Ovis aries: one gene and its partners. The protein of the gene in region 1 interacts with the protein of each later gene in a biochemical or structural test. Links are inferred from orthologs where the notes say so. Each region holds a gene or a part of one and is shown in the gene's direction. Other genes may lie near its edges.

The links.
Region 2: of the proteins of NFE2L2 (region 1) and GSK3B, one has a biochemical effect on the other in vitro, tested with the Homo sapiens proteins (2 studies listed by BioGRID). The link is inferred for Ovis aries from reciprocal best matches to the Homo sapiens genes NFE2L2 and GSK3B.
Region 3: the proteins of NFE2L2 (region 1) and ENC1 form a complex in vitro, tested with the Homo sapiens proteins (2 studies listed by BioGRID). The link is inferred for Ovis aries from reciprocal best matches to the Homo sapiens genes NFE2L2 and ENC1.

Annotation. Positions count from the first base shown.
Region 1 is NC_056055.1:132,848,954-132,859,756, forward strand, and holds the start of NFE2L2 (nuclear factor erythroid 2-related factor 2), read left to right. Parts: upstream 1-4,282; 5' UTR 4,283-4,430; coding exon 4,431-4,475; exon of another isoform or gene 4,476-4,825; intron 4,826-4,960; exon of another isoform or gene 4,961-5,198; intron 5,199-5,615; exon of another isoform or gene 5,616-5,645; intron 5,646-10,803.
Region 2 is NC_056054.1:185,709,845-185,720,613, reverse strand, and holds the start of GSK3B (glycogen synthase kinase-3 beta), read left to right. Parts: upstream 1-5,033; coding exon 5,034-5,121; intron 5,122-10,769. UniProt on the Homo sapiens protein: Constitutively active protein kinase that acts as a negative regulator in the hormonal control of glucose homeostasis, Wnt signaling and regulation of transcription factors and microtubules, by phosphorylating and inactivating glycogen synthase (GYS1 or GYS2), EIF2B, CTNNB1/beta-catenin, APC, AXIN1, DPYSL2/CRMP2, JUN, NFATC1/NFATC, MAPT/TAU and MACF1.
Region 3 is NC_056069.1:7,079,979-7,089,981, forward strand, and holds the start of ENC1 (ectoderm-neural cortex protein 1), read left to right. Parts: upstream 1-874; 5' UTR 875-1,285; intron 1,286-5,100; 5' UTR 5,101-5,111; coding exon 5,112-6,881; 3' UTR 6,882-6,913; intron 6,914-10,003. UniProt on the Homo sapiens protein: Actin-binding protein involved in the regulation of neuronal process formation and in differentiation of neural crest cells.

The DNA of each region.
Region 1 (10,803 bases):
TATCCGGGGGCTCCTATTCTGCAGAGCGAAACTCTGAAAATATAGCAGCAGATTGAAAGAGCAACAGATCTTGAGACCCTTACTACATCTACACCTAAAAATGTGGTCAAATTCTCCAGGCTCCTCTCTAGTAAACACAGAATGGAAATATTTGTAAATCTTGTGGTTAAAATTCAATTTGAAAATGAAATGGACCCAGCGTCTTGGGAGAAAAGCAAGGGTTCCTCCTTTACCTCTGTACCCCAATGCCACTTTTTTTTCTGCTTATTACTATAAAAGTAATATATGTTTTTTTAGGAAAATGCAGGCAGGCAAAAATGAGAAAAAATAAAAAGCATTTGTAACCTAATCAGAGTAATTGTGGATAACATTTTAGAATGTGTATGTTTGTCTTTTTTCCTATGCATATATTTTTGTGTAGGTATCAACATACATAATTCAAAAGCACTCTTTTAAACTTCCAGGTTTTTCTCTTCACACACTGCATTGCAGTTCCTGTAGGGCACTCATTCTATTATGAGCAGGAAACTACAAGAGTTAAAACCGGCTTTGGTAATATACAACTCTTTGTATCAGTAGCTTGCACAGTGAGGTGTGCTCACCAAGGAACCAATGTTATGGGTGTGTTTCTAAACTAATACACCTATTATTCTGAACACTACTGTATTGAAGTTAAGTTTATCCACTGGGCATGATGCTACTGAAGTTCAAATTCCCTCAGCAGATACCCAGCAAGGATGTTACATAACTGGGATAAATGAGGTCATGTTAGGGCCAAAATCTCTGTATGCATATATACCTCAATCTACTTAACTGATGGAATATCTGTGTTCCTTAAGTGTATTTGCATAAAGAGAATATCTCACCATCATCTGTCTAATGGTGTGATACTGATACATACTGTGATGAGGTGATTTACTTTGCATGTAGCAGTGAAGAGGGTATAACATAGGGAAAATGCCTTCTTCATTTACAGGGTGGTCAATTGCTCCTGAGGGTTTGAGACTCTTATTAAACTGCAAAGTACCATCCCTATATGTGACGCCAATAATTGTTAACAAACAGAAAGCAGCCAGGAGAAAACTTGTCTTTGATATTCAATATATGCTGTTTGGTTATCTATTGCTATGAAACAGACCACCCCAAAATGTAGTGGCTAAAAACAATTTATTACAATCTCTCACAATTCTTTGGGCTGACTGGGCTCACCCAGGCAGTCTTCTGCTGGTCTTGCTTGGAGTCTCTCATATATGGTTGCAGTCACATAGCAGCTGGGGCTGAGGTCTCCTGGGGTTCAACTGGGCGGCTAGAAGAGCTGGTCTGGCTTCTTCACTCACATGTCTGGTGCCTTGGTTCACATAGCTGCTCTTTCCACTTGAAGTCCCATCCCCAGGGCTTTTCCCCACAGCTTCTCTTCCCACAAAGATAGTCAGACTTCTTATATGATGGCTGACTTCTAAGACTGTGAAATTAAAAGCTGTCAGGCCCTTTTAAAGCTTAGCGGAGACTTGGCATAGTGTCACTTCCGGCCTTGTGTAAGTTACAGCAAGTCTCAGGGCCAGCCTTGATGCGATGTAGGGGACTACACAAGCACAGCAACACGCCAGGAGGGGCAGTTCACTCAGTGCCATCTGGGGAATCTGGCTACTGGATCTGCTCCCGCTGGAGGCTGTACAAATTTAGAATTTTAACAATAATGCCAAGGGAGTTTGGATACTTTCTTGGTGAAACATGGAGTACAGTGAAAAGGAATAAGCAGAGGGAAGAAGCCTCACGGTGATGGAGGACTTTGGAAACAGTAGGTACTTTCTTGGTTCTTGCAAATTTGGCAGATTAGATCACGGAGAAGGTGAAATAAAGGGATCATTGCATCACTATTTTCCAAACTTTGCATGCTTGGAAGGTTTACCTGACGATGCTTGTTTTTTACGACAGTTCTGGAACTAAGTATTACAACTTGGTCACGCATCTCAAGCGTACCCGGAGGGTTCTCTTTCTAAGGATGGCAAAGAACTCAGATATAAACAGAAACATACACAGGTTAGTAGCATGTGAAGCCAATTGAGTGGGAAAATAAAATAGCAAGGAGAGCCTGTCAGTAAAATAACTCCCATGGCAACAGGACAGGAGAGAAAACCCAGCATCCTGGAACTTCTCAGTGCACAGTATCTGTGCCTTCATGGCACTGCATTCAAGTTTAGAGGGCAAGGCCTCGTTTCTCACATGGATATGATCTTGGATCAGAGTTCTGCAAAGACCAGCAACCTCCTTGATGTGGGTGGTCTGAGACTGGGGTTTCCTCCTCTTGTGCTGAATCCCCATTTAATGCCAAACAGCTTTTTTTTAGCTGTTTCCTTAATTTTTCTTAAACATGTTCAGACTCTTATTGTATTGTCCTCCTCCCTTTGAAAATATGTACTCTGCAGGTGCCTGAAATAATATACTCCCAGTAATTGCAGTTTTGCAAAAGTAAAGTTTATTTTATTCAGTCTAAACTCAACGGAAATTTGTTGCCCAACAAGGAAATACCAAATTTTATAAGCCGCTGGAGGGCAGCCATCATGTCGTATATGACTTTGTTATTGCCTGCCTCCTGTGCTCTCTGTCTACCTTCTCCATGTACTAATTTTAATAAGTAACTTGAATTGTTAGCAATATACTCTGGTGCCATTCTTTGACACAGAAATGTCATTTCATAATGTCTCTGCATATTCCATGTCAGGTTCACTGTAAATCACTTCTCCTGAGCTTGTTGTTAGTGTGCAGATCATTTTGCAGCCTTCTCACTTAACAGCTGAAAGTTTAATTCAAATTGAAGAAACTTACTTCAATTACAGGCAATTAATTTAGGCTTCACTTACCTTAAGAAATATTCCAACATATAAATCAACAGGTAAGTCCTGGGAGGGTCAAATTACGCAACCAAGAGAAAGTAAGTTCTTTGCAGCTTTGGGGGCGTTGGTCTGCTGTAGTCAGGCTTTTATGGTTTTCTTTTTCTTTTTTTGGCGTCAGGTTTTTGAATGAAATAGTAAAACCAGTGCCAGACACTGTCTACTCCACCTGGTTTTGCATAATTCGAAGAAGTGATAAACTGAAAATCAGGCTTGTTAAAGAGCTAGAAAGAGTGCTGTTGCATAAGAGAAAACAAAACTAAACCATTTCTCTATTCTTTTTTAAATCATAAGATTTCACAATATTCCTGTTTTCAAGTACTTGAAGTTTGCTCTGGGCACTGACTACTTTTTAAATAATTGTTTTTAAGGTGCAGTGAATAATACACATTTATCGTAGATTTAAAACATACTTAAAGTAACAAAGAGATAAAAATCATTCAAGGTCCTGCAACTATTAATATTACTAGTAATATTTTGAAGAACTTTTTTTTTTCTAGGTACATGCTTTCACAGAACGGGTCCATACTACACAGTTTTATAACTTGTTTTTTGCGTTTTTGTTTTTAAAATCGTATCTTGAGTACGTGAAAACTTCTAGAGGTTATGACACGTTTGTAATATCGAACAGGGTTAAAAATCGCCATCTATGGTGTGGCGTGTGCACTCTGGTGGGAAGAGAATGCTCCGGATGGGCAAGCTCGACCACTCTCCGATCCAAAGAGACTTCTCCATTCGCCCTCGGGGACTGAAGCCTGGCCAGAGTGCAAGGCGTGGGAGTAAGTGGAGGGCGATCAGGGTGACCGAGCACGAGCTCCCCGCGCGGTCCACTCTTCCCCCGGGCCAGTCTCACTGGCTGAGCCGGAGCGAGAGGGCAGCTCGCCGTGAGCTGGGCCCAGGTCCCGGCTTCCGGCCCCCACCCCCCGGGCTGGCGCCACTCTCGGGCGGTGGGGAGAGAGAAAGCCGGGCAAGGTTCTGCAAATCCAAAGCAGGGAGGCGCAGCTCCGATACCATCGCCTTTGCCGAGTCTCCAAGCATGTTTGTTTCAACTGTTTAAACTGTTTCAAAGCACCCGAACCCCAGCGACCTTCGGCAAACAACTCAATCCCACGGGCGGGGAGCGATGGCCGTATTCGCTAGAAGGGCAAACTGACAGCGGAGGCAGGCGAGCTTCGGGGGCCTTCCTCCGGCACTCTGCCTGCCCGCAGCCGCCCCTGAGACCCCCGCCCGCAACTCTTTCCCGCCCCAGGACGGCCAGCTTCTTGCGTCAGCCCGGCGAGGGTGGGGGATTTTCGGAAGGTCGGCCCGGGCGGCTGGCTGGGGAAGGAAGGGCCTTGGGCTCTCGCCCCGCCCTCGCGGGGCGGGAGGCGGAGCGGGACAAGAGCCCGATCGGCGACTCCGGCCAAGTCAGGGAGAAGCGAGTTCCTAGGATCCCCCAGGAGCCGCCGCCGCCACCAGTACCGCCGTGTCCGCTCCAAGCCTCGGCAGCCGGAACAGGGCCGCCGTCGGGGAGCCTCAAAGCACCGTCCCCAGCTCAGCATGATGGACTTGGAGCTGCCCCCGCCGGGACTGCCGTCCCAGCAGGTGGTGCCAGGACGGGAGCAGGGGCGCGAGGGAGCCGCGGCCCGGGAGGGACAGCCGCATCGGCCTCTTTCCCCGTCTGTGGCCGGAGCGGACTGCAGCTGCCGCGCACACACCAGAGCCGCCGCGCTTGAGCTGGGGCCGGGGGAGGGGAGTGGCGACCCCAAGGGCTGCGAGGGGTATGGGGGCGCGGGGAATGGTGTGACTGACAACGCGCCCGCAGCCCCCGAGGGCGGTAGGGTTGGGGTTGGGGGGCTACGCCAGCGCGCGTGGGGGCGAAGTGCGTCTCTAACCGCGTCCCCGGTCGCCGGAGCCGAGATGCTGGAGCCGCGGCCGGCCCCCTCTCCGAGTTTGAGCGGCCGGGAGGCAACCGGGTAGGAGAGGGCGGACACTGGCGGTCTGAGCCGGCGCGGCCCGGCCCTTCCGGGGCTGCGCGGCTCCCCCGCCTCGGAGCCGGCAAAAATGTGCCTAGTCACGGGGCCACTCTCGGGGGAACTGAGGTCTCCGGGCTGGGACCCGGAACCCCTCCTCTGCCGCTGCTCCTCTGCTCAAGACCTCCGCGGGCGCGAGCCGCGGCGCTCTTACCCTGCTGAGGGTTCTCTTAGGCAGAGTGATCAATCACTCCAGCCTTGCGATCGCCCTGAGGCCGCTTGGCGAAAATGCCCAGCTCCCAGGGTGGGGGCAGGAGGAGGTCACCAAGCGCCCAGCGCACTCGGTTTCCCCGACGTACGGCGATCGAACCCTGCCCTGCGCGCCGCCTCGCCCCGAGGGAAGGGTTCGGGCTCTTAGAACTCTGAGTCGGCCCCTAGCAATACGCCGGCAAGGGCGGGTGGGGCGGTGGACTCTGAAGTCCGACGGGCCTTCGCCCCCCACCCCACCCCAGCTCCCCGGGGCTTCTCGATCCCGGCGCTGTGCTTCCCGGTGGCGCACGCCGCGAGCGTCGTCCCGGCGCCGTGACAGTGGCCGGTTGGCTGTCACGGCGGCCCTCAGTGGGCCCTTTCCTGCTTTGTAGCGTGCAAACCTTGCCGCGCCGGGGCCAAGGGACAAGTTGGAGCTGTTGATCTGTTGCGCAATTGTTATTTTCCCTAGGGCGGCTTTGTCTTTGGATTTAGCGTTTCGGAATTGCAATTCCAAAATGTGTAAGGCAGGATATTCTGTTCTCTGCTGTCAAGGGTAAGAATTTCGAGTGTAGATTAGCATTTCTGTTGTTTTTAGGCTGTTACTAAATGTTGCGCTTTCATACATTGTTTCTCTTTTGGGTGCTTTATGTAGTTTTCCTTTTCTGTTTGAGAATTTGCCTCAATTGCTTTCCTAGTATGTTGCTTTTGAGAGGGCAGAGGGTGGGACAGCTGTGTCTCATAAAACTTCGCTAACAAGTTCTGTAAATGTCGCAAATGTGGGAACAAGTTTCTGTGTATATTTTGTAGGGACTTTTTAAAGGAGTAGATAGTTTTATTTCCAATTTGTGCGTGTGAATGCGTTTTTTGGAAAAATATTTAGTTCAAGGAAATGTGTAACCTAATAGGAACGGTAAATATATTTAAGCTCTTAAACATCAAGCTTTAGACTAATCCTGAAGTAAGGTTTTGATATATTGACAATGTAGTGATTGTGCCTTTTTTTTCCCTTGGAAGCTGTTGTCTTGAACTTTCCCCCAGTAGTGATTAAGACTGTGTTCCTTCCTCCCCACGATATGAAGAAATAAATTGTGCTTTCCGATTCAGCTGCTGTTCAGTCCCTATAGCCATTTCTTTAATAATCTATATGACCAAAGGATATATGATGCTAATGGACTCTAGTTTTCCCAGATTCAGGAATGTAGCCTAGAGGGGTATATTACTGAAGTTTTTATTTCTTTCTTAACTATATAATTTACCATTCCATATACAAAAGTGGGTAAACATCTTTACTGCTTTTTCTTTTAAATGTGAACTTTCCAATTATGTTTGTTAAGGTAACTCCCTTTCCACCCTTTGTAATCAGACCTCAGTTTGCATATGCGAAGAGTATAAAAGAAAATGGAATAAAATTTAGAGTTAATGTCATGCCTGTAACTAAGATTCATATTAAATCTTTGTAGTCCAGGAAGATTTGGACAGAGTCATAAGTGGATTCTAACCTCTTGTCAAAGAAACACCAGGCAGGAGGTGGTACGGGGGTAAAAGTTCTTCCCCCTTTGTGCAAAGGAGGTGTTGATGAAGAGCAGTAGAGTTTTACATTCTGAATTTCCATTAGCTTCTGGAAGGAATCATCTACCCTTTTCAAAGCTGTCTTGGAGAAAGTATTTTTGCATATGAGGAATGAAGTTGATCTTGGACTAGGTAGGTAACTTCCAAAGAAAAATAAGGCCTCCCTCTCATCTCCAGAAGGTTGAGCAAAGAACAACTTGACTTTTTAGATATTTGGAAAAAAACCTCTTGAGAGATTGTGAAAGATTGTAGTAGGATAAAAACGTAACTCACATCAGTCTGCATTAAAAGTAGCATGGGCCATTTTGGACTCTTTCTTGTCAACTTGGGTTTTTATAAACAGTGCTGGGAGGGGAAACCCCAAAATCTGACTTTCTTTAGGATAATCAGGAAGAATTGAAAGCTAAATACACGAATTTTACTTACAGAGCTACATGAGAAAAAGAAACCTCTGTGGGCTAGAAGCACTTTTTTTTTCCCCGGGGAATTTCCTCTCTACTGGCGGAACACATTTAAAGGGGGGTTTGCGTAAATATTTCTTCTTTGATTTTTCCTTCATCTGGGGTTCACTCGTCAGTGCATATTCTTGGATTCAGGAGTTTGGCACTCAGATAATCGTAGATGAGTTATTGGACACTTACTTGTGTGCCAGGCGGTACGATAATTGCTTCACATGTATAATTTCACAGTCACCGTGTAGAAAATACTGTCTCCAGTTTCTAGGTGAGGAAAGAGGCATAAAGCAGCCAGGGTCCTGGGTCCTGGTTAAAGTGACTCAACTATTGAGTGGCAGAGGTGGGATTCAAACCCTGGTAGAAGGACCCCACTTCCGAAGTAGACCAAGACTAGTTAACTTTAAACAGAAGGAAACTCTTACGCTTGTAAAAATGGACAAATCGAGAAAAACTACAAGAAGCACAGGTAGGAATTTAAAAGATTAATCTTTGCACCTTTTCCAGTTACCAAGAAATTTAATAAGTGTGTTTGTGAGGGGTGAGGTCGACCTTGAATACAGTGAAAGTAAATACAACCTGAAACTTTTCAGAAAGACTAAGAGGCCTAGCGGGGTTTGATTTAGAGAGGCAAGACCATTTCTTAATTTAATAATAGTTTTTAAAATTTCTGATATTTCAGCAGTATCTGAGATTCTGCCTTACATTTTTCAGGGACTGTTTTTCAAATCTCTTAGCTCCTGGTGACTTTAATTTTATTTGCCTTGTTAGTTGGTACATACTCCTGTTCCATTGGTTCTTTTTATCTGGAAATAGTGGTCAAAAATAAGTTTCGTAGTGAAGATGTTTGGTAGTGAATATGCTGAAGAGTGGGACAGACAGGGTTAAACCTGGTTGAAGGAAAGTGGAGAGAATGGGGAGAATTTGACTTGAAAACAACTAGTGGAAACCTGTTGGTTCAAATTAAACACTCATCTCCTGTTTCGGCATTTCTGAACTGAAGCAGGCATAAGGGCTCAAATCTGTCTAATTGAAGCCTTCTTGGGGTTTTGTGACTAGTACATTTCAAAGTTTAATACTTTATTTCTTAGTCCTTATCTTTAAACTGGAGAAAGAAATGGCAACCCACTCCAGTATTCTTGTCTGGAGAATCCCATGGACAAAGGAGCCTGGTGGGCTACAGTCCACTGGGTTGCAAAGAGTTGGACACGACTGAGCGACTTCACTTTATCTTTAAACAGGTTGTTCTCGGAATTATTATTGTCTTGTTTGTCTGAGTTAAGGATGCTTCAGGCTTTTCCAGATTCAGTGGATAATTTGCCTAAAAATTAATCTGACAACTCCCAGCATATTTAAAAGCCTGGCCCAGCCACTTCTGAAAGTTTGCTGGAATCTGCTGTTGCACAGCAGGGTTGTTCGTTCTTTAGTTGCTAAGTTGTGTCCGACTTTGTGACCGCATGAACTGTAGCCCGGCAGGGTCCTCTCTCCATGGCATTTCCCAGGCAAGAATACTGAACTGGGCTGCCGTTTCCTTCTCCAGGGGATCTTCTTGATTGAGGGATCGAACCCCTGTCTCCTGCATTGGCAGGCACATTCTTTACCACTGAGCCACCAGGGAAGCCCACCCAGCAGGGTATAGAAGGATGAATGTACTAAAGGCAATATTCAGCCGGCTTCCCTCACCAGTGGCTGCATGTTTAAGTGTACTGTAGAATGGAGAACAGAGTTTATATTCTGATAATAACGATTTCTATGAGTTTTAAAATGTAGTTACCAGCTGCTTTTCAATATGCTCTAACAGACATTTATTAAAGGGGCTCTAAGATACAGACCAAGGCTTCTTTCATTGATAATGGTATGTTTTCTGGAAATGAGTGCAAAAAATACGTTCAAGTGTATAACATTCCCAAAAAGTATTAGCAAAATACAAGTGTTCTTATACTAACTTTCCCCGCCAAGACAAAGCAAGATGGCTAAACAAAATCTTATCTTGCCTGAAGTTGGAGTTTTCTCTGGGTCAGCCCCTGCCACAGTAAACACTTTTTAACTATTATTATGAAGAATTTTAGGAACATTGAGGATTGGAAGCACGGTTTTAAAAATTGGAGTGTAATTGCTTTACAGTATTGTGCTAGCTTCTGCTGTACCGCAGTGCGAATCAGCTATAAGTAGACATATGTGCCCTCCCTCCGGGACCTCCCTCCCATCTCACCCCTGGGTCGTCACAGATCACCAAGCTGAGCTTCCTGGCATATGTCCTGCAACACCTTCAAAGCCTCATAAAATCTTTCTCTGTGCGTGAGCATGTAAGTTTATTTGGCCCAAACTGTGGTAGAAGTGAAGACGAAGCCAGGACATAAGAGATACTTAGAGCACCAAATCCATCCTTCAAAGACCTTGCTGGTAATTGAAAGTCACTATCATTCAGCAGCAGCCTGTATCTTGCTTTTGCTGTTGTTATTGTTGTTCGGGTGTTTTTGGATCTCTGGATGGCTTGTGGGGATCGTCCCTGACCCAGAGAGTGAACCCAGGCCAGCAGCGAAAGCCCTGAATCCTAACCACTCGGGCCACCGGGGAATTCCCAACAGCCTGTATCCTGAAGGATTAAAAAAAATGCCCTGGCAGTGCTAAGTTAGTCATGCTTTTTCTCACAAACTTCGATGATTGAGACTCCCAGCCCTGTGACATCGACAGCGTACTGGTGAGATCCAGCCTCTCCGTTGCTTTTCTTCAAATCAGAGAAGAATGATTGGGTAATAAAAGAAAACTGTCGGATGATTTTGGCTTTGAAGCCTTCTTCCAAACTTAAGAGTTTATTTTCTGCATTAGGCAGTTCTCCTCAATCACTTTTTAAAATCTCCGATACCTGTCTTATATATGCAGCTGTTCTTTCCCTCTACAATTTGATTGTAAGTTCCTTGAGAGCTGGGCATAGAATTTATATTTGTCTCTTCTTTAAATAGATTTAAGAGATGTAAGCCCCATACAGTCCACCCATTTAAAGTGGACAGTTCGGTGACTGAGTGTATTCAGACTAGTACAGCCATCACCACATCAATTTTAGAACATTTTCATCACCCCGGGAAGAAACAGACCCATTAGCACTCACCCCCCATTTCCCTTCAGCTCTCTTAGTTCCTAGTAACCACTCATTATACTCTTATCTCTATGGATTTGTCTCCTGGATATTTCATAGAAATGAAATCATAGCCTGGCCGGTTCTGTGTGACTGGCTTCTTTAACTTAACATGTTTACATAGTTTGACCGTATTGTATCGTATATCAGGACTTTGTACATTTTATTGCTGAATACTATTCCATTATATGGATACACTACATGTTATTTGTTCCCTCTTCAGTTCATGGCCATTTGGGTTGTTTCTACTTTATATATATTTTTGCTCCTGATAGCAAAAATATATGGTTCTTAAAATGTGCTATATGTTAGAGTCACCACCCGTATTTAAAATGCTGATGCCCAGGCCATATGTCTTGTTAAATTAAAATCTCTGTGGGTGGGGCATTAGTATCTTTTTCAAACCTCTGAAGGAATTCCATCATGCAAGTAGATTGAGAACCAGTGTTCTGGAGGAGTTGGCACGGTTCTTGGTACCCGTGAAAGGTATGCCTATAGGGATTTAGAAAATCTGGTTAGGATGTTGCTTAATTCATGAAAGGAAGTGTTTTTAT
Region 2 (10,769 bases), on another chromosome or scaffold:
TGATTCTTTTGCAGTCTTATCTTTGTTTTCTCTTTTTAAGTATTTTGTTTCTTATGTAAAGGTGGAAAATGAAGACAATACTGGAAAGCATTAATACAATAAGCATCATCCAAAATGCCATCAAAATTAGTATTTCTAGACTTCTGTGTGTGGGCAGACACACACACACATGCCGTTTTACATAATTGGGATAAACAATGTTATTTGTTGATGGAAGACAGAGATCTAGTATTAATAGAAAGAGGCTGGATCAAATATACTTGGCTATAGATTTCATCCCAGTGCTGCCATTTTTTAATTGTGTGACCTTGTGCAACGTATCTATTGCTCATTTACCCCACATCTGTTAACAGGAGTTAATAATGCCTGTCTCTTGAGGTTTAGGGAAGCACTGAACAGGCATTCAGTAAATGCACATTTATTTTTCCTTCCTCTTAATCTTCACATTGACCTTGATACTGGAAGGCTTTCCTAGGGTTTATTACTAAACAACTTCTGTATCTCATAGTATCTGAGTGCAAGTATCTAGAGCAGAGACCATACTTATTAAATTTTGAAAACCAGCACCCAACATCATTTAGGTATTTAATATACATTGGCTAAGTAAAGGAGATCCTAGGAGTTTGCTTGTGGGCTTGTGTGTGAACTGACAGGCCCTGGGTTCATCTAAATAAACAGCATCTCATATTCTATTTGCTATCCTCATTATTACACCTGCCTATACTTTCTTCTAGTTTCAGTTAAAAATGTAGCTAACTTATTCTGAGCAAGACATCTGTAGTTTCCTCATCTGTAAAAACAGAATAATAGTTCCATAATGGTACTCTGTAAACTTAACATATTATACAAATACTTATTATTACTCTAGAACCCAGTTCATTGTGCATTTTATCCTTTGGACAGGCTTACCCACCTCCTTCCCCCAACTACAATACTCACCTGTTCTGTGTCACTCAGCTTTCTTGTATCTTTTTCTAGCCCTCTGGTTACTTTGGCTCGGAATCACTGATCTCTCCAAGGGACCAACTGATGAGCCCTAACAGAACCCAAAGCACACACAGTTGAAGACATAAGGCTTAGACTTTAAGATAAAGCAAGACCAGGGAAGGTGAGGACTGTGTTTGAGAGAAGTACAAGGAACCTGAATCCTAGGTCTGCTTACTTTAGCTCTGTGGACCTTAGGTAAGTCAGTATATATTTCTGACCTTTAGTTTCCTTTAAGTGGAGGTGATAACAGTACTTATACTGTATGATTATAATCTGAGATAGCATGTGTGAAACACTTAAGAACAGTGTCTGGCACATTATAAACACATAAATATTAAAATTACTATAAACTGATAAGTGGTTAACAGCAAGTGAGAAGGTAGAGTAAGTTTGAAAGGTCAGAGAATCATTGAATGTTACTTTCAGTGATACTGTATTTTCTCATAAATTTCTCCCCTCCTTATGTCCTAATTCTAAATTGAACTACTTTTTGTTTTCCTATAAGACTCACCTCCCCACCCTATCCCCCGATCAGATTTTTTTTTAAGTGTCAGTTCAAAATTGAAGGCAGCAACAGTAGAGCTACTAATCATAACCTCAAGGTAGACTATTTTTGTACTTTATTATATAAAATAGAATAGCTGTTTCCAATTTGTATAACCTAAACATTTGTCATTCAGCTTCCTGCCAGTATAACTGGGAGTTGAGATGGGGAGTAAAGGCAGGATTTCTAGCTTTACCTCACAGCAGTTTAGGGACTAGTGGCAAAGGTCTACATGGTAGTTTGCAGGGAGAGGCAACAATCATTTGACAAAGGTGCCATGCACTGAGTTTGCTTTCAACATTCTTTACCCTTCTCCATGACATCCAGAGACCTCATGTTCTGTCTTCACTGCAAAGAACAAGAGCTTCTACCACTCCTGGACTATCAAAAACCTATGTCCAGATTTGAGATTACAAATTGATTGCAGGTTGGTCACATCTACCCTGGAATGTTTTTAGTTTGGCCTGCAGAGTTTGGAAATACTGGTGTAAAAATCGAGAGATTTCATACAAAAATCGTGCTTTATAAGGGTTTCTCCTGGTGGGGATGGGGGGAAGGGGACAGAATATCTCAGACCACTGTATCCACATTCTTCAGGGCAACAATCTGCTGGAGCCGAACAGCTGCTCCTTTCAGTTACAGCACAGACACTCCAATTTGCCACGTTGCTTGTCACTCCCCATTGTCTACACCAGGCCAGTTTCACTCATTTACTTTACTTTTCTGGCCCCTAAAAACATGTGAGTTTGCAAACCCTATCTAGACCTTTCCTGTCCTCCATCAAAGATTACTCTGTTCTGTCCTAAGTTCCTCATCAGTTTTCCAAAGCAATAGCTAGTTAACCTGATCAAGTAATTTTTATATGTGCTCGCTACAGATGGTATCTGAATAGAAAGGGATGACTCTGCAGGTGGAAATTACAGGCACCATGGGATTACAATTAGGATGGCAACTGTTCATTTTACTTTTTCTGTAACCGTAACTCACTGTCCTTGGGCACACCCCAGGAATCTGAACACTGGCCTATGTGCGAAACCTACTTAAATAGTACTTTTATAGATCACCCTCGTTCCAAAAAACTAAAAACTATCAAGGGCTATTCTGGCTCCCCGTTGCCTCAGAGGCTTCGGGATATCCGGCCTGACTGCACTTCCCCTCACCTGCTTTCGGGGGCCGTTCTGCGCCGACTGGTCGCACCCCAGAAGGGCGCTCAGCCAGCATGAGCTCATTTCTCAGGGGCCTTTCTGGAAGGCCGGGCTTGGCAGCGCGCACGAGGCGCAGTCGCCCTCACTCTTATCAATGGCCTCCGCGACTGGGCGGGGCGCGGTCGCCCAGGGGCGCTGCCTCTCTAGAAGCTTTGTTCTCAGTTTAATGTCTGAAAACTCGCACTCGGCCTGAGAAGCGCCCTGGATCTGTCTGACCGTTTCGGGAAAGACGCCCGTACTCGGGATGCGCTCTCCCGGGCGGAGGGGAACCCCGGGCGCGCAGAATTAGCCCCGCCCCACAGAGAGCCTCCAGTGGGTGGGGAAAGCCCCTCAATCAGTTTGTTGGAGCGAGGGACCCAGCGCCACCGACCACACCAGTTTCGCACCGCCTCGCGCTCCCTATATGCGGTTTCCACACCAGCTGCGAGTAGCCGCAGGCGAGGCCGTCAGACCGTCCGCCACGACCCCAGTCGCGCTTCTCCCCGCTCCTAGGACTGCCGCCGGAGGCTGAAGGCCAATCATACTGCAGCTAGGTCTTGCGATTAGACAGCAGCGAGTGCAGATTGGCTACTGCTACGAGTTTCGGCCTCCCTCCCTTTCCCTTTTGCCCCCATTCCAGCTCCTGAGCTTCAGGCCAATGAAAAAGCGCTTTATAGACGCCCTCCCTTCGCTCTCTACTTCTCCCCACCTCGGCGAGGGAGGAGGCGTCCTGACTGGCCAGACTGTCCTCGGAAGCCCCATTCCCTTCACCAATCACCGAGGGTGCTGCACTCCCAGCGGAGTTTCGGCCAATTACAAAGCGGCCACGGCGCCCAGCCGTGCGGTTTCGCCAGCGACTCCGGGCTTCACTGTCCTTAACTCTTCAAGCTTTTCCTGAGGGCCAGCGACTCTGATTGGTCACTGCCGAATTTCTCCTCCAGCCAGCCACAGAACAAGGCGAACCCACCTTTTCCTCGGTCGGCTATCTTCGGCATTTTCCGTCCTTGGGCGTGAATTTCCAGCGACACTTTCTGATTGGCTCTTCAGGTCGATCGGCTTTTTCCGGGAGGATCCGCAAACAAACGACATCCGTGATTGGTTCCGCTCGGGTTTCGGCTCCCCTGTCGAAGGGGGCGGACGCCCCGCTCGGCCGGCGATTCCCAGACGCCTCTTACGCGGGCGGCGGGGCGCTGGGCGGTGTAAGGCTGGGTGGGGGAGGAAGGAGGCGGAGGACGAGTAGGAGGGGGGAGGGGGAGTGGGGAAGAGCTAGGCGGCTGCGCAGACGGCACTCCTCACAGAGAGCAGCCCCCGACCCGGGCGAATGCGGGCTCGTGCTGCTGCTGCTGCTGCTGCTGCTGCCGCCGCCGCCGCCGCCGCCCGGGCCGAGTGACAAAGGAAGGAAGGAAGGAAGCGAGGAGGAGCCGACCCCGCAGCCGCTGACAGGGCTCCGGACTGGGGGCAAAGCGCGGACACTTCCTGAGCGGGACTGTGCAGAAGCGAGGGGCGGGAGGGCGGCCGCGCTGGTGCCTTGGACGGGGGAGGGGGCCCCCGAGGGACGGAAGCGGTTGCCGGGTTCCCATGTCCCCGGCGTATGGGGAGCAGTCGAGGAGCCGCTGCCTGGGGTCTGAAGGGAGCTGCCTCCGCCGCCGCCGCCGCCATGGCCGCTGGATCCAGCCGCCGCCTGCAGCTGCTCCTGGCGCAATGAGGGGAAGAGCCGCCGCCACCGCCCGACTCTGACTGACTCGCGACTCCGCCGCCTTCCAGTTCGCCGGGCCCCCACCGTCAGCCCGCCGGATCCTTGCCGCTGCCGGAGCCGCAGCGTTTCCCGACGCATCTCCGAGCCACCCCTCCCTCTCCCTCCCTCCTTCCCATCCCCCCTTCTTTTCAAGCGTGAGACTCGTGATCCTTCCGCCGCTTCCCTTCTTCATTGACTCGGAAAAAAAATCCCCGAGGAAAATATAATATTCAGAGTACTTATTTTCAATCCAGTATTTGTCCCCGTTTCACGTGATATATATTTTTTAGGATCTCCCACCCATTTCTGCCCTCCAAGGAAAAGGAGGGGAAAGAATTGTAATTTTTTCCCAGCCCCGGATCGTCTATATGTTAAATATCCGTACTGATCTGTCTTCAAGGAGAAATACATCGCTCGCTTTTTTAAATAGCTGTACAAAAGGAGTGAAAAGGCAAGAGGACGAAGTCTTTTTCCTGTGGGAAAACTTAATGCTGCATTTATCATTAACCTAACACCCCAACATAAAACAAAAGGAAGAAAAGGAGGAAGGAAGGAAAAAAGGTGATTCGGTAAAAGAGTGATCATGTCAGGGCGGCCCAGAACCACCTCCTTTGCGGAGAGCTGCAAGCCAGTGCAGCAGCCTTCAGCTTTTGGCAGCATGAAAGTTAGCAGTGAGTATTGATTTTATTTTACACCCCTTCTCCACCTCCCCTTTGAATAAGAGACTTTGAAATACCAGGATCTTAAAATACGAGACCTGCTGATAAAACAGAGGTAATGGGAAAGGGCAAAAACCTGTCTTCAGTCAAGGATGAGGCAGCTTCCTTTTTTCCTCCTCCCATATCCCTTCTCCGGTCTCATTAACCTTGAATCGGGGGAATGGGATTTTTATTTAGATGATTCTGTCTGAAACTTAGTTCTTTTCTTACAGTTTTCTAGCAATTGATAGTCAGCTTTATTAAGTGGTTGAGTGTTTCCACCTTAAAATAGTGATGGAAGTGTTTACTTGCTCATCCTTTTGATTAAAGCGAAGGACAAGACTCATAAACCATTATGTGCTTTTCCAGAGTGTGTCTTTTGGAATGAGGGATAGTTTAGTTCGCTCAGGTCTCGAGGGTTACCATAGTTTTGTATACTTAATGGAAGAGGTGAATGTCACCGTCTCCTAACATTTCTTTCTTACTTGTGTGACTATACAAAGTGTTTGTTCTTAATCCAGAGATGAACTCGCTAAGTAACCACATTTCGGTTGGAAGGCGAGCTTTGATTTGTCTCTTTAGAAGGGACGGGTACCGCTGATAGATACTCAGTAGCAGTAGTATCTCAACATGCATTGTTCTAAATTGGATACGCGGTTTAATATGTTATCTCTTAACCTTACCGTTTTGACATTGCCAATCTACCACTATAGAGTTAATGTTTAATCAAAAGGTAACTTGAAAGTAGGTCCGAGTTTTGAATGGGGCTTATATTGTCATGTTGCTAAATAGTAAGTTGAATGTTAATTGTCACTGACTCATCATTAAAGTTCAGCTTTGGGGTGCCATTGCTTTCAGTACTTGCTAAATGATCTAGAGTTCAGATGTTCCTTCTTAGGACTGCTTACAATACTCTCGCATTGTTTTCCTTTCGAATTCAGATAAGGCTATGAAGTTAGAAGAATATGGATTTAGACTTTATCATCATAGGTTTTGCAGAAGGTTGTGGTCCCAGATTTAATAGAGGTATTTGGGCTTTGTTCAAGGCTGTTGCTAGACGTCTATACTCTCTTCCCAGATTTGTGCTCAAAAAGTCTATTTTGAGTGTTTGGTATACTAAGTATCCAGTGTTTTAACGTATCTCTAGTTATGGATATGTTTATGTGATATTTAATGTCAGTTTATTTAAATATACTTAAAGAATTCGACAAAAATATCTATTATAGTTTCCTTATTCCTTCAGAAAGGAGCATGAATGAGGGCAAAGAAAAACTTTTACTGCTTAGAAGAAGGAGAGAATTGAATTGAGATTTTTTTTAAAAAGGTATATGCTGTTATGTGAAATTGATTATAAAATGAACACTCTTACTTGAACTCAGGATTTCAGTTCATGGTGGCTTTTGGAACTTGTCTGAAACAGGGTAGTCTAAGGTAATAGCTGAATGGGAGATTATTTTTGAGAGTTAAATTTTTTTTTTGGTGACTAGCTAGTTCAGAATGCAGAGTATGTGAAGAGGGAAGCTGATGATGCATCTTTCAGGGAATGGTCAAGCTTTCTAAGCACTTCATGGGGTCATTTGAGAGGAATATTTTAAAATTCTGGGGTAATTTTCAGCTATGATGAAGCAAATCTTATAATAGCTCCTTAAGAGCCTCTTGTGGTACTGGAGTGTTAGGATGTTTTTCATCTTGGTTTAAAGACCACTTGAAATCAATTTTAGGTAATTAGTTTATTCAGAGAGCAGAATGGGATACCTAATAATATTAAATTTGGGGACTTTTCATTTAGTTCACAGGATTTTCTATGAATCCTTTGTGGATGTTGACTGAAGATGGAGTAACTCTTGCAAAGTGCAGGTGAAAATGTTGACTTTTCTGTTACCATATAGGTCAGCTTAACATTTAAAAGATTGGAGTTCAGTGTTGACTATGTGTTTTTGACAACCGTAACTTTAAATACATTTTGGAAGAAAGCCTTTGTTGGAATGCTGGTGTTCTAAGGGACCCCTGTTTAAGCGATAAGAAATTATAGTCCTTGCCTTGAAAAGCTTATCAGTTTTTGAGGCAGATTATGGGACAAAACGTGAAAACAGTAATATGATGACTGCAAGATTATAAATGCAAATAGAATACTTTGTTCAGAGGAACAAAAAATAAAGGCATGAGGTAGATGGCTTGGAGAGAAGACTTCTTACAGAGGTATGTTTTAAGGCAGGTGTTAAAGGAGGCAGTAACTTATATTGAGAAGCATAAAGGATTCTAGGTGGACAGAATGGACAGAGGCACAGAGATGGTGACTTTTGTATTTTTGTATTTATAAAGCAGGTTAGTAAATCTGAATAAAAGGGGCCTAAATAGGAAAATAAGAAGAGATGGAATTTGAGAAATATGTTAACTGATGGAAAGCAGAGGGGGCTTATGATTATGGTTGAGATTCAAGAGAGTTTGGAATTTACTATAGGTTGATGAACAAAATATTTGAAGATGGTTTGGGCAGCAAAGTTGATGAATTAGAAACCAGACGTCAGAGCCCTTTTAGGGAGTAGTAGAGTATGTTGTGAATAGTGAGGCAATATAAAGCAAAATTGAAAATCGGATGAAAAGAACACATTTGAGAGACAGCGTGAATGAACTGGTAGGACTTTGGATTGGATTGAAGGGGGGAGTATTTGGGAAGGAGTCAGGAGTTAAAAATAAATTCTGATGTTACTGGTCTGGAAGATTTGACCGCCAAGTTATATTGTTGATTGTAATGGGAAAGTTGAGAAAGTGCTGAGATGGGAGGATAGATGAGTTCACTTTTTAAAAATTTAATATTTAGATTTTCTTGAAATTCAGCAGACAGCAGTTGGTTACTGGCTATCGTATTTAACTTAACAGTCTGTTTATTGCACTGTCTCTAATTTTTCTATGTCTAAAAATGCTGGATTTATTTTCAGGAGTAGTAAACTGAAAGTTTTTATTTATATTCTTTCCATTTCTCAAAAAGAAAATAATTTTTAATGTAAATTCAAAAGATCTCATACTTGAAACCTAGTTATAATAACCCGATGGTAATTTATTTGAAAACAATGAAAATATTTTTTGGACTAAGCTGTAACATAAGCATTTTAGGTATTTTATACAGCCTTCAATCTTTGGTACATTCTTAAAACTAGTTTCATAAATAATGGTTATTTTAGGTAAACCTTGCTGTTTAAAATAATGTTAATATGCAGACTTCAGCAGAAATTAAAAGTTGATTTATTCATTTATTTACTTTTTGTGTTTTGGTTGCGCTAAGTGTTCATCCGGTTTAGAAGAGTATATTTGATTTTTTTTTTTTAAACCTCAATGTTGTGTAACTATTTTTTTTTTTGGTCTGCATTCATATTCAAGTGTTATTAGATAAATGTTAATAGCTAGACAGTTCTTCTGTAGAGTCACATGATATTTTACTCAAAATGGAGGCAGTAAGGTGCTATGGTGATTTTTTATTAAAATATTAGTAATAAGTCTTTTGATAAACTGTTAGTGAAAATTTAGCTAGTTGCCTAGCTAAGTCATGAGAAGTTATTTCCTCATACAGGATTTTTTATATCAAATTTCTTTAGTGAAGAGAATAATAGTAGTTGCATATTGCTGTGCAGTATTTAGTTGCATGGTGGCTAAAGCCAAAGAGTAGGTGGCAACTTAGAGTTACTCTATTCCTGAGAGAGTTTAATCTCTTTGTGTCATATAAAAATCAGGTTATTAGAATTTCACTAGTTTCTAGATTTTCCAATGTGAAAGAGAGCTCATGTGTGAAACTGAAAACCAGAATTTTATCTTCGTTAAAATTTCATTCCCTTCCCAACCAGACCTTTCCAGAGTTGTTAAAAAACTAGACCCTCATATAAGAATTGCATGCTGTCTTGTTAAATGTACCCCTAGAGTGCTAATTGTGAAATGACTTAAAGGCACAAGGGAACCCAGAGATTCATAAATCAATTCACGACTGATTGGGAATTGCGTTTAGAAAACGAGGTGACATCTTCTCATTTCATTTGCGTGCTTCAGCTGGAAATCATCACATACTTGTACCCTGTGCTGTCTGCCCCGTGTTGTGGACTTGGGTTGCCAGTGTGAGACACTGTTTTGGAGAGACAGGCAGGCTGGGGAAGCCAGCTTAAGTGTCAGCAGCAGATTCTGAGATCAGGGGAGGTCTGCTTTTGTGTGTGTTTTTTCTTTATGTATAGAGAAGGCTGTACCACAGTTCCATGCTTAACACTCATGGGATAGTGGGCAGGCTGTGGGACTGTGGAGTCTCTTGTGATGCTCCACCCTGCAAGAGGAGAATGGAGGGGCAGAGCATGTGGGTGTGATGGGATTATATCTGGTACTAACAGGACCAACCTGATTTCCCAGATATTGTTCTACTAAGAACATAATCACCATGAGTAAATAAGTTTATTGGTATGTTTAGCATCATTTTTGTAGCCTATTTTGAGGGGCGGCAGTTGAAGGGAGTGGTGTGGAGAGGAGGGAAATCTTGCATGATTGTGAGGATAGAAATGTTTTCATGGTTCATTGATTTTAAAGTAGAGGTTGCAATCTTTGCTTCTATCTTGGGTTGTACAAATCATCCTTAGTTATATAATTGTCTTTGACTTCGGTTGAGTGTGATATAGAAATGTTTATTTATGTGAAGACCTATGTGAATAGAGAGCTTCCCTGGTGACTCAGATGGTAAAGAATCTGCCTGCAGTGCAAGGGACACAGGTTCATCTCTTGAGTCTGCAGGATCCCCTGGAGGAGGGCACGGCAGCCCACTCCAGCACTCTTGCCTGGAGAAGTCCATGGACGGAGGAGCCTGGTGGGCTGCAGTCCATGGGGTCCCAAAGAGTCAGACAGGACTGAGCACATACTCTCATGTGAATAGAAAAGCAAGGAAAACCTGACATAAAGGAGAACAATTTGTTTCCCCAGAAGTTTCTTATCATTAAATTGATAAAAATCGGTGTTTATTTCTATTTATTATTACAGTTTTTATTCTAGTTTTTTTTTTAATGAGTTAATATTCAGCACACAATGGACATTCAGTAAATTATTTCAGTTTATATCTATGTCTGTAGTATACTTGGTCTGGCCTAAGATACAAGGACGTAACTTTGTAGATTTGGATTCTTAATTTACAGTCGCTTTTCTCACTTGTGCTTATGTTTTGGGGAGAAAGGTCTAGTTTCAAAGTTGAAATGCAAGTTGAAATTCCATAAATGGTTGTATCTTATATTTTTGGATTAAATACTTTCCTTAGAAGCATTTTAATTTGGTTGTATTAAGACAGTGATGTTTTGGTTATTTTGAAACTAATTTTGTCAAACCAACTTTTCCTTTTCCATGACTTCAGGATACCATGACCAACAATGGCACAAATATGAACCTTTAACATTTCCCTTATTAACATAGTCTGGAGTTGTTAATTTCTTGATTGTACTTTCAGATCAGTTTAATAATGAAAAGTAAACATTCCTGACGAAGGACATATTATTTTCCTAGAAATTTGTATTTTATTTTTAAATTAAACCTTTTTTTTTTTTTTTTTTGGCTGCTCTGTGTAGCTTGCCGGATCTCAGTTCCTGGACCAGGGATTGAACCTGGGC
Region 3 (10,003 bases), on another chromosome or scaffold:
CTAGCGAAAAGCGATAGGAAAGGGCCAGGTCTGAGGGGGCGATTAAAGGTTTATCACTTCGGAGAGGTGGCGGCGTGGCCACTCCTTGGAGCAGTTGGTTTTGAATCAAGCGGCCACAGCGATTGGCTGCAAAGCACGTGGTGCGCGCTCCGCCGGACAGCGCCCGGCTGCCGCTGCCTAGGGCGGCGTGGGGCAGATTCCGGCCGCGGGTGCCGCACCCGCGGGGAGGGTGGGGGAGGACGTGGGGGCAGGAAGCGCCCGGGGCGCGAGTCTTTCCGGTCCCCTGCCCTACAACGGAGCCCTACAGCCCGGCTTTGCCCAACCTGCGGAGTGCCTACAGTGTCCAAAATTGTGTCCATACCTCGCCCCTGTCCTCTTTCCAGGTATCTCGCCCAGCGGGCAGGCTGTGTGCGCCCAGGGCGCGAACCACTAACACCCGTCTCGCCTCTTGTCTCTCTTTGCTGAGCCTCACGGCGGCTCCCGCAACGCGGAGCACACACCTGGGGGGCCGCGCTGTCCCCAACCACCCCAGAAGGGTCCCTCAGCACCGGACTCTGCTCAAGACACAGCGACCCAGGAAGACTTGTTTTACTCGCGATTCCCGAAGGCTGCAGCTGCTCGTGGCTGAGATTCCGCATCCTCTTTGTCTCTCTCTCTCTACTTGCCACAGCCCCCTCCCCCGCTTCCTCTCTCGATTAACTCCCCCGACACGCTCTCCTCCCCTTCCTCCTCCTCCTCCTCCGCCGGCCGCTTTCACGCGCTTCCTCCCTCCCTCACCTGGTGTCACTTTTTGCCTACGCGCCCTCTCCCCTCCCCTCCCCGCCCTCCCCTCCCCGTCTCGCCGCTTATAGCCGGGCGCTGGGCCGCCGGGCGCAGACTGCTCGGGCAGCCGGAGAGGAGGCGGCGCGGCCGAGGCGCTGCAGAGACCGAGTGGAGACGCCAGGCGGCCGCCGGCGCGCACGGCTCTTTCCAGCTCCCTCCCCCGAGCGTTCAGCCCGCCTCCTTCCGCGGCGCCTGCGGCCGCTGGCTCCCTCTTCCCTCCCGAGCGCCCTCCGGGAGCTGCTCCGCGGGTGGCAGGCACAGAGTCCGTGACCTGGGAGTCGTGAGACCGCGGCGATCAGCCCGCGGTGACCAGCCAGCGAGCCGGAGCCCCATGCGCGCTCCTTTCGCCGGGGCAGTCGCTGTTGCTCCCTGGGGCTGAGACGTCTGCTCCGTCGCCTCCCCGCCGGGTTACCGAGGCCAGACCCAACTAACTGGTTGTGCACTGTGGCCGGCCGCCACTGCTGTAAGTCTCCGCCACCGCCGCGGACCTGTTGCGGGCGCCGTGGGTGTCAGGTCTGCCTGTGTGTGTGCGTGCGCGCGCACCGCGGAGCCTGGAGCTCCGACTTAGGGGGCGGCGGGGAACTGCTCTCGGGCGGAGACCCCGGCCCGCCGCTGCGCTCCTCTGGCAGGCAGAGCCGGGCACTGCCCGAGGGGCCTCCTCTGAGCCGCTGGGGAGAGAGGAGCTCAGCCAGGATACGATCGACACCCCCCCGCGCCCCGCCGCCCCACTCCCCTCCGCGGGAAGGGCTGTGCCTAGCGCGCGGGATTGTTTGTCCCCTTGCACCCTACGCGGCACTGGAGTCACGCACAGACACCCCTAGTAAGGGCATGTTCACTGCGGCCAGATGTCTGTGGGGAATGAATGAAAACTGCTTTCTAAAAAATTATTTTTTTTGTCATTCAGGTTGTTTAGCCTTAACATGGTTAGTTTCGAAGGATAGGAATTGGTAGGCGGGGTGGAGATGAACCGCTGAACTTGGCGTGTATCTGGTGTCGCCCACACGGGCATGTGTTGAAGAGCGTTACAAGTGCTATAGAGGACTCTATGGTAAAATGCTTTTCTTGTTAACAGTCTCTTTATAGTGTTGTTCCTTTGTTATCAATAATGTAAATTGCCTGAGAAAATCTGCCCAGTTTCTCCTTCGATGGCCTGGAGATCAGGTTCAAAACTTAAAGAAATGTGACGCGCTGCTAAGTATTGGAGGCTGAGATCCTGGTTAAAGAGCATTAAGTGAACTGAAGTTACTGTAGCCAGAATTCCTTTTGATGTTCACTGGTAATAGCAGCCCTTTTCGCCTTCTCTGTAGAGGCAGGTTAAGTATATGTGTGCGTTTTTTGGCCACTTACTTGGCATGCAAATATTATTTCTCTGGGGGCTTAAAAAATGCCAAAAGGATGATTCATTCTGTGTTGAAGGTGTGTTTAGAGTCTGTGTACATGGTTTCTGCTGATGTTTTCATGTTTGCATACTTTTAAACCAAAAGACAAGTTGTCTCCCTTGGGTCTTCAAGTGTACCTTTTAATCAAATATTCCTGCAAGATTGTTGGATTTTGACTGTGACACACTTCTCCATCTGGGTGGCATCCAAGATGACAGGCTAGGCTCTTCTGCTGGCTTTTGAACCTACTTGGGAAATCCAGGAGCATAAACACAGGCTGTAAAGAGATGCAGATCCTATATCCCAGTCTTCTAAACTGTTATGTTAAGTATAAGCCTGGCTATGAGTGTTGTTTTACACTGCTCAGGGAAATGCCTTCTGGGCCTGGTGGGTGTGATTCCAGTTCAATCTGCAGGCACTTTGGTGCTTCTGTACCTTGTGCAAGAACCTCATTCTTCTGTCAGCTGCATTCAGTCTCAGCCAGAAAGAAGGCAGCTTTTTTTTTTTTTTTAATTGAAATACAGTTGATTTACAATGTTGTTAGTTTCAGGTATACAGCAAAGTATTCAGAATACACACAGGTTTATGAATTCTTTTCCATTATAGGCTATTGCAGGACACTGAGTATATATGCTGTACGGTAGGTCCTATACTATACAGTAGGTCCTTGTTGGCTGTCTACTGTATATATAGTAGTGTGTGTATTTTAATCCCAAACTCCTAATTTATTCCTCCTTTCCCCCTTGGTAACCATAAGTTTGTTTTCTATGTGTGTGTCTATTTCTGTTTTGTAAATAAGTTCATTTCTATCTTTTTTAAAAAAGGTTTTCCATTTGCGCAATATCATATGACGTTTGTCTTTATCTGACCGACTTTGTGTGATAATCTCTAGGTCCATCCAAGGGAGGCAGGTTTTGAGATTGCTTTGGAAGCATTCGTTAAAAAAAAACATTAGAAAGCATAGCTACTCATTTGGAATTCTTGCAAGTTTCTATATAAGGCATAAGAGTATTTATACCATTTTTTGAGGTTTAGGCTAAAACTCTTCTTCAAAGTACTGAAGACTGAATGTGCTCATGCTCATGTGACTGCAGCAGTTGAACAGCAGGGATGCTAATTCAGGTTTTGAACACATTGGAGAACCTGGTGCATTTACACAGGGTCCTGTCGGAGCATTGGGCCTTGGGTGACATGGACTAGACCTTAGAGGCTTAGCTTGACGTGGGGGTGATGCTGGCCTCTTCACCATTTGTCACAGCTCAGGTCACTGTGGAGACTGATGGGTGCTTCCTAAAGTCTTAACACCAGAGCCCTAGGACTCTGTTGTTTATTTTCTTCTCCAGTAAATCATGGTTACTCATGATGAAAAGTTACATGCCTAAAATAAAAGAAAACAAGTTGCAACTCCTAATATATGAGACCAGTGAGTCAAAGGCACCTGCCTCTGTTGTTCTCTGTGCCTGCCTTGCCTCCGCTGGTCAGGTTGAAGGAAACAAGGCTGGTAAGGACTAGCTGTTCCCTGTTTGGAACAGATACTGTATCAATGCAGTTCACCGTCCTGGAATAAACAGCTTCCCTACGAATCCTCTGACAGGCGGGTTCCTGAAGCCTTTATTCCTTTGACTTAACAGAAGAGTAGGGTTAAAAAGGAAGAAGATAATTCAATTTTTGAACATAGGTGATAGGCATGTCCTGTATCTTTAGCTTACACTTTGATTACTGAGGAAAGCCAAAGAGTCGATTTGGTTCTGCTATAATTCCCATTTAGATACTGAGGAAAGCACTGTAGTCGGCAAATAAATTCTAGAGTGACCGTAAGTTAACAATGGCTGGCAACACACATACACGCACACACACACACGTGTGTATGTGTGTTTTGATTTAGATAACATCTGCATTCTGATCTCCCTATATGCAGGTGCCAGCATTTGCAAGTACCCAGGGATGGCCCTGGTGATCCCTGTGTAATCGAGAGAGAGCAGTGGATACACGCTTTGTTCTTGAAGCTGGTTTTCTAAGAAGTAACTTAAAGCAGGGAGAATAGAACATTGGAACTCCTGAGTTTGCTACTCAAACTAGTCTTTCTTTTCTGGGCACAAATCCCCATTTTGGAAGCTGGCCAGAGCAGAAAAGGTGGGTGGTAATTGGGGCCAGAGTCTATTCTGTGTTTCCAGGATAGCTTGCTGATCAGTATATGGTCATGTTTATATTGGGGCTCTTTTAGGACTGAAGTGGTAGAGGTGTCTGGTTAGAAATGATTTGTAATGTTAAGTAAATGTTTGGTCACTTCAGAAGCTGGCTTACACCTGTGGCTTTAGTGTTACATTTCCCATTTACTGTACCTACACTGTGGTAAAGACAGTGGGTATTACCAAAGGAATTCTTAATGGAATTAATTAGTAGGTATTTGTCTTACACATGGCTTTATGTTGCATAGGGCATTAAAACTTGTGCCCATCCCGGCGTTACGAGAGCTGGAGGCCTGGCACTGCAAGTGACCAACCCTGAATCAGCTGGACCAGGGCAGGGACCTGTGAGAATGAGAGCTTGATCCTCTTGGCTTTTGCTGACTTACATTCTCAAGGACCTTCAACATCCTGAAAGTTGGCAATCAGGTTTTCCAAGATGAACCTGCTCTTGAGCAGTGACTTTTTTTTTTTTAAACAACGTATAGGTTACATAGCTCAACAGTAGTGTAAGTGCCTTTCTTTATCAGTAACTGTCTCTGGCTTTGGATGGGCCTGGCCAGCCATTATTCAGATTAGTAGGCAGCGGGGCCCACAGCGCAGTGTTCTGTTCCCTCGTGTCTTTTGTCTTCTGGTTTTGACTGGGGCTCTGGCTCGGCTGTTCCGCACACTGCGAGCATCTCTGTTCAGTAGTTGTGTCTGGTTTTTTGCAGGAGTGGAAACAATGTCTGTCAGTGTGCACGAGAACCGCAAGTCCAGGGCCAGCAGTGGCTCCATCAACATCTACCTGTTCCACAAGTCCTCCTACGCAGACAGTGTCCTCACTCACCTGAACCTGTTGCGCCAGCAGCGCCTCTTCACTGATGTCCTTCTCCATGCGGGCAACAGGACCTTCCCTTGTCACCGGGCAGTGCTGGCTGCGTGCAGCCGCTACTTCGAAGCCATGTTCAGCGGGGGCCTGAAAGAGAGCCAGGACAGTGAAGTCAACTTCGACAATTCCATCCACCCGGAAGTCTTGGAGCTGCTCCTCGACTATGCCTACTCCTCCCGGGTCATCATCAATGAAGAAAATGCAGAATCGCTCCTGGAAGCCGGCGACATGCTGGAGTTTCAAGACATCCGGGATGCGTGTGCCGAGTTCCTGGAAAAGAACCTGCACCCCACCAACTGCCTGGGCATGCTGCTGCTGTCCGACGCGCACCAGTGCACCAAGCTGTACGAGCTCTCCTGGCGGATGTGTCTCAGCAACTTTCAGACCATCAGGAAGAACGAAGATTTCCTGCAGCTGCCCCAGGACATGGTCGTGCAGCTCTTGTCCAGTGAAGAGCTGGAGACCGAAGACGAAAGGCTTGTGTACGAGTCTGCAATTAACTGGATCAGCTACGACCTGAAGAAGCGCTACTGCTACCTCCCAGAGCTGTTGCAGACGGTGCGGCTGGCGCTGCTGCCGGCCATCTATCTCATGGAGAATGTGGCCATGGAAGAACTCATCACCAAGCAGAGGAAGAGCAAGGAGATCGTGGAAGAGGCCATCAGGTGCAAACTGAAAATCCTGCAGAACGACGGTGTGGTGACCAGCCTCTGTGCCCGGCCCCGGAAAACCGGCCATGCCCTCTTCCTCTTGGGAGGACAGACTTTCATGTGTGACAAACTGTACCTGGTCGACCAGAAGGCCAAAGAGATCATTCCCAAGGCTGACATCCCAAGCCCGAGGAAAGAATTCAGTGCGTGTGCAATTGGCTGCAAAGTATACATTACTGGGGGGCGAGGGTCTGAGAATGGAGTCTCGAAAGACGTCTGGGTGTATGATACCCTGCATGAGGAGTGGTCCAAGGCGGCCCCCATGCTGGTGGCCAGGTTTGGCCACGGCTCTGCTGAACTCAAGCACTGCCTGTATGTGGTCGGCGGGCACACTGCCGCCACTGGCTGCCTCCCAGCCTCCCCCTCAGTCTCTCTGAAGCAAGTGGAACATTACGACCCCACAACCAACAAATGGACCATGGTGGCTCCCCTCCGAGAAGGGGTCAGCAACGCCGCAGTGGTGAGTGCCAAGCTCAAGCTGTTTGCTTTTGGGGGTACCAGTGTCAGTCATGACAAGCTCCCCAAAGTTCAGTGTTACGATCAGTGTGAAAACAGGTGGACGGTCCCAGCCACCTGTCCGCAGCCCTGGCGTTACACGGCGGCAGCTGTGCTGGGCAACCAGATTTTTATTATGGGGGGAGATACTGAGTTCTCCGCCTGCTCTGCATATAAATTCAACAGCGAAACTTACCAGTGGACCAAGGTGGGAGACGTGACGGCAAAGCGCATGAGCTGCCACGCCGTGGCCTCCGGAAACAAACTCTACGTGGTTGGAGGGTACTTTGGCATTCAGCGATGCAAAACTCTGGACTGCTACGACCCAACATTGGATGCGTGGAACAGCATCACCACAGTCCCGTACTCACTGATCCCTACTGCGTTTGTCAGCACCTGGAAACATCTGCCTTCTTAAATGCCTTGCATCCTGGAGAGGGTGAGCGTGAGGTAAGTCAGCTTAGCTGTAAGTATCTGTATAGTTGAGAGAGCTGTTTCAGCTCGTACGTGGAATAAGACAGGCTCCATATAGCCCATCCTATAGAGGTACCACACAATCTATACCAATAAAAGCACTTGCACCCCAAAGCTTAAACACTTGTGTTGACCACAGCTGCAACACGCGCCACCGCCCCCCCCCCCCCCAGATCATCAGCAAGTGGTTCTCAGCCTCTACTGAGCCTCAGAATCTCCCAAGCAGCTTTCCAAAATCTGCACACCCCAGAGGCTGGGTTTGTTGGGTCTGGATGGGTCCTAGGCATTAGCATTTTTAGAAAGTTCTTCAGTGGTTCTAATTATGACCTGGTTGGGAACCCTGACCTATGTTAATAATGCCAGCTGATGTCTTCTGAGCCTTCCCCCTTTGCTGGCTGTTGGGCTCTATGTTTCACATGGATCTTTGCATTTGGTCCCCACAACAACCCTGTGGGATATTATTACAGGAGCACCTTATAGATGAGAACACCTGATGTACAGAGGGGTTAAGTAAGTTGCCTGAGGTCATAGGGCTCAGCAGGCGGAAAGGTTGGTCAAGAGTTCAGCCCAGGCAGTCTGGCTGTAAAGCATAAGCACTTTAGCTCATGCCAAATGGGCATTTAGTACCCTTCACACTGGTATCACCCCAGGAGATAATTGTTGATATTTAAACTGAGCTTCCTCAAACCCTTTTTGGAATGAAGTAGGGTTTCAAAAATTGAATGCTGAAATTATTTCCAGTGTATTCTGTCCAAAATTATTTATTAGCTTATTTAAAATGTCCCCCCACCGCCCCCCCCCCATCCCCAGACTGCCCCCTTTAGGGCATTTACTAACTTTCATGAAATCTGGGTCTGTCCTTGGAAATAGTTGCACCTGCATTGTATGAGCCATCCAAACCGCCCTCCCTGCAGCTTTTCAGAGTTAATCATTCAGGCTGACCCCATTGTCAGGGTGAACAAGAGTTGTGTTTCTGTGTCATATATCTGAGTACATAATGGTTGTCTTGTGTACTTAAGAGTATATCATACTCTTGGTTCAAATAATTAATAGGCCTTCGCAGTTCAGGGTTCAGGGAGCTAATGGCTGCCTTGCTTGCTTGTAAAGCACTCTCGGGATTGGCCCCGAAGTCACTTAAGCATGTGTAAGCGTAGCACAGGGCACGTAGAATGGGTTGATTTGTTTTGGTGACTAGAGGGCTCATTACTAATAATAAGAGGATGAAGTTTAAGAATCTGCTTTGGAGGAGCTGCTTGTGATAATGCACTCATTACTTGGAAAGGTTTGGTTCTGTGTTTAGTATGTTTCATACCTTTCAAGGGGACCATCCAGCAAAGAGGGGGTTTGCACTCTTCATTTGTCTTCTCTTTCCTCATCTCTTACAGCTTGTTTAGAAACACCAGTAAAATTGACCTCCCTTTTACATGTAATCTTTCTGTTTCTTTCATTTCTTCTTCATCTCCTCCCGCCTGTTACAGGTGGTACAGTTCTTAGTAACATAATGTTTACCTGTACTGAGACACCGTCAGGGGTGCAGGACTGTCCTCTGGGGAGCAAATAGGGTAACTGTTCCAAACCAAACTGGTTTTTGCAGCCTTGCTGTCATCTCAGTAATCCTGAATAAACAAATGCTCTGAAAGGGGTTATTTCATTTGCAATATAAATGCATTACTCAACTCTAAAGCAAGTTTAAAGAACCTTCTAGGCAGAAGCATCAATTAACAGCATGCTAAATTGGGTGTTAGTCCAGAATTGACTATATTTGCATAGGAGAGCCTCAAAAATTGCCAGTGACAGTGGGGATACTTCCAAGTGGTAATTGGCTTGGCATCATTGGAGCAAGATAAGGAACTGGAGGCAGAAAGAGAGCGACCATGTGTGTCTGGTTCTAGCCTTCAGCTGTGGAGTCTGGACCTCTCTGCACTTCAGACTTCCCCTTTGTTAAATGAGTGATTCGAATTGTGCTTTCCTTGAGATCTGTCCCAGTTTAGACTTGGATGAATTGATAAATGAGAAAAAAGCAAAGAAAGGGGTAAAAATAGCTAGCCCATGTCTGTGTTTTCTTTCCTCCCTTCAATTTAGACCTTACCTCAAAGTGGAATTAGCTTTATGTGTTGGGGGAAAATGAGGTTTCTATGACTGTTACCTGCTTGTTATCTCTATACTTCATTTTTGGTACCTTCTTTCTCAGCCCAGAGTGAATATGTTAGCAAACATTTGAATTCACCCTCTCCTAGGTCTTTGAACCTATTTAATCACACATGTCCGGCCCCTGGGAAATAGAGCAAAAAAAGTGCTGGGTTATATTCGAAACATATCCTCTCCACTCTTGGTGCTATTAGCCAGAGTCAAGCACAGGATAAGCAAATTTGAGGGGGCTGGATTTGCCTTTTTAAAGGACGGTGTGGGCCTGATCAAAGCCACTCTTGCAGTTTCCGACGGGGAGAATGTTGGTTTAAATTTTTAAAGTTTACTGCACACCAGATAATGTTAAAACACTTAAGCCGGATGGAGTGACTTAAAAGTACTGTGTAGGTATCAGACTTGAGCTGCAAGCGCTTCCGGGACCTGGCTTTGCTTTCCAAATGTAGGTGCTATCTGAATTAATACAGTGTTAACACAAAGTTTCCCTCTGCCTGAAAGCTTATCCACCAAGGTGATTTTAACTCTTTGTTGCTGCTCTGTCAGCCCTGAGAGGGACAGAAAGGAAATGCCTTTGATTTCACTGCGTGTTCATGATGCTCTGTGGCCCCAGCTTGACAACACTTAGATTTGGTTTGCTTTGTTCCCTGCTCCCCTTTCTAGAGGTGTTTTTGTTTTGGGTTTTTTGTTTGTTTGTTTTTCTGTTTGAGTATGCAACATCTTGAAATTTCATATTATTACAAGATACATTCTTTTGGCCTCATGTTGATGTATAGGTTCCAAGGAGGTGCGGGTGGGGGATGACACCGTAGTCTAAGGAATGTCTTGAAAGCTTGAATCACTGTTTTGAAATGGAAGAAACAGCTAATGGAATGAATCAGACTTCTGAATACAGGAGAGAAAGAAGGACTCTGTGAGTGATGA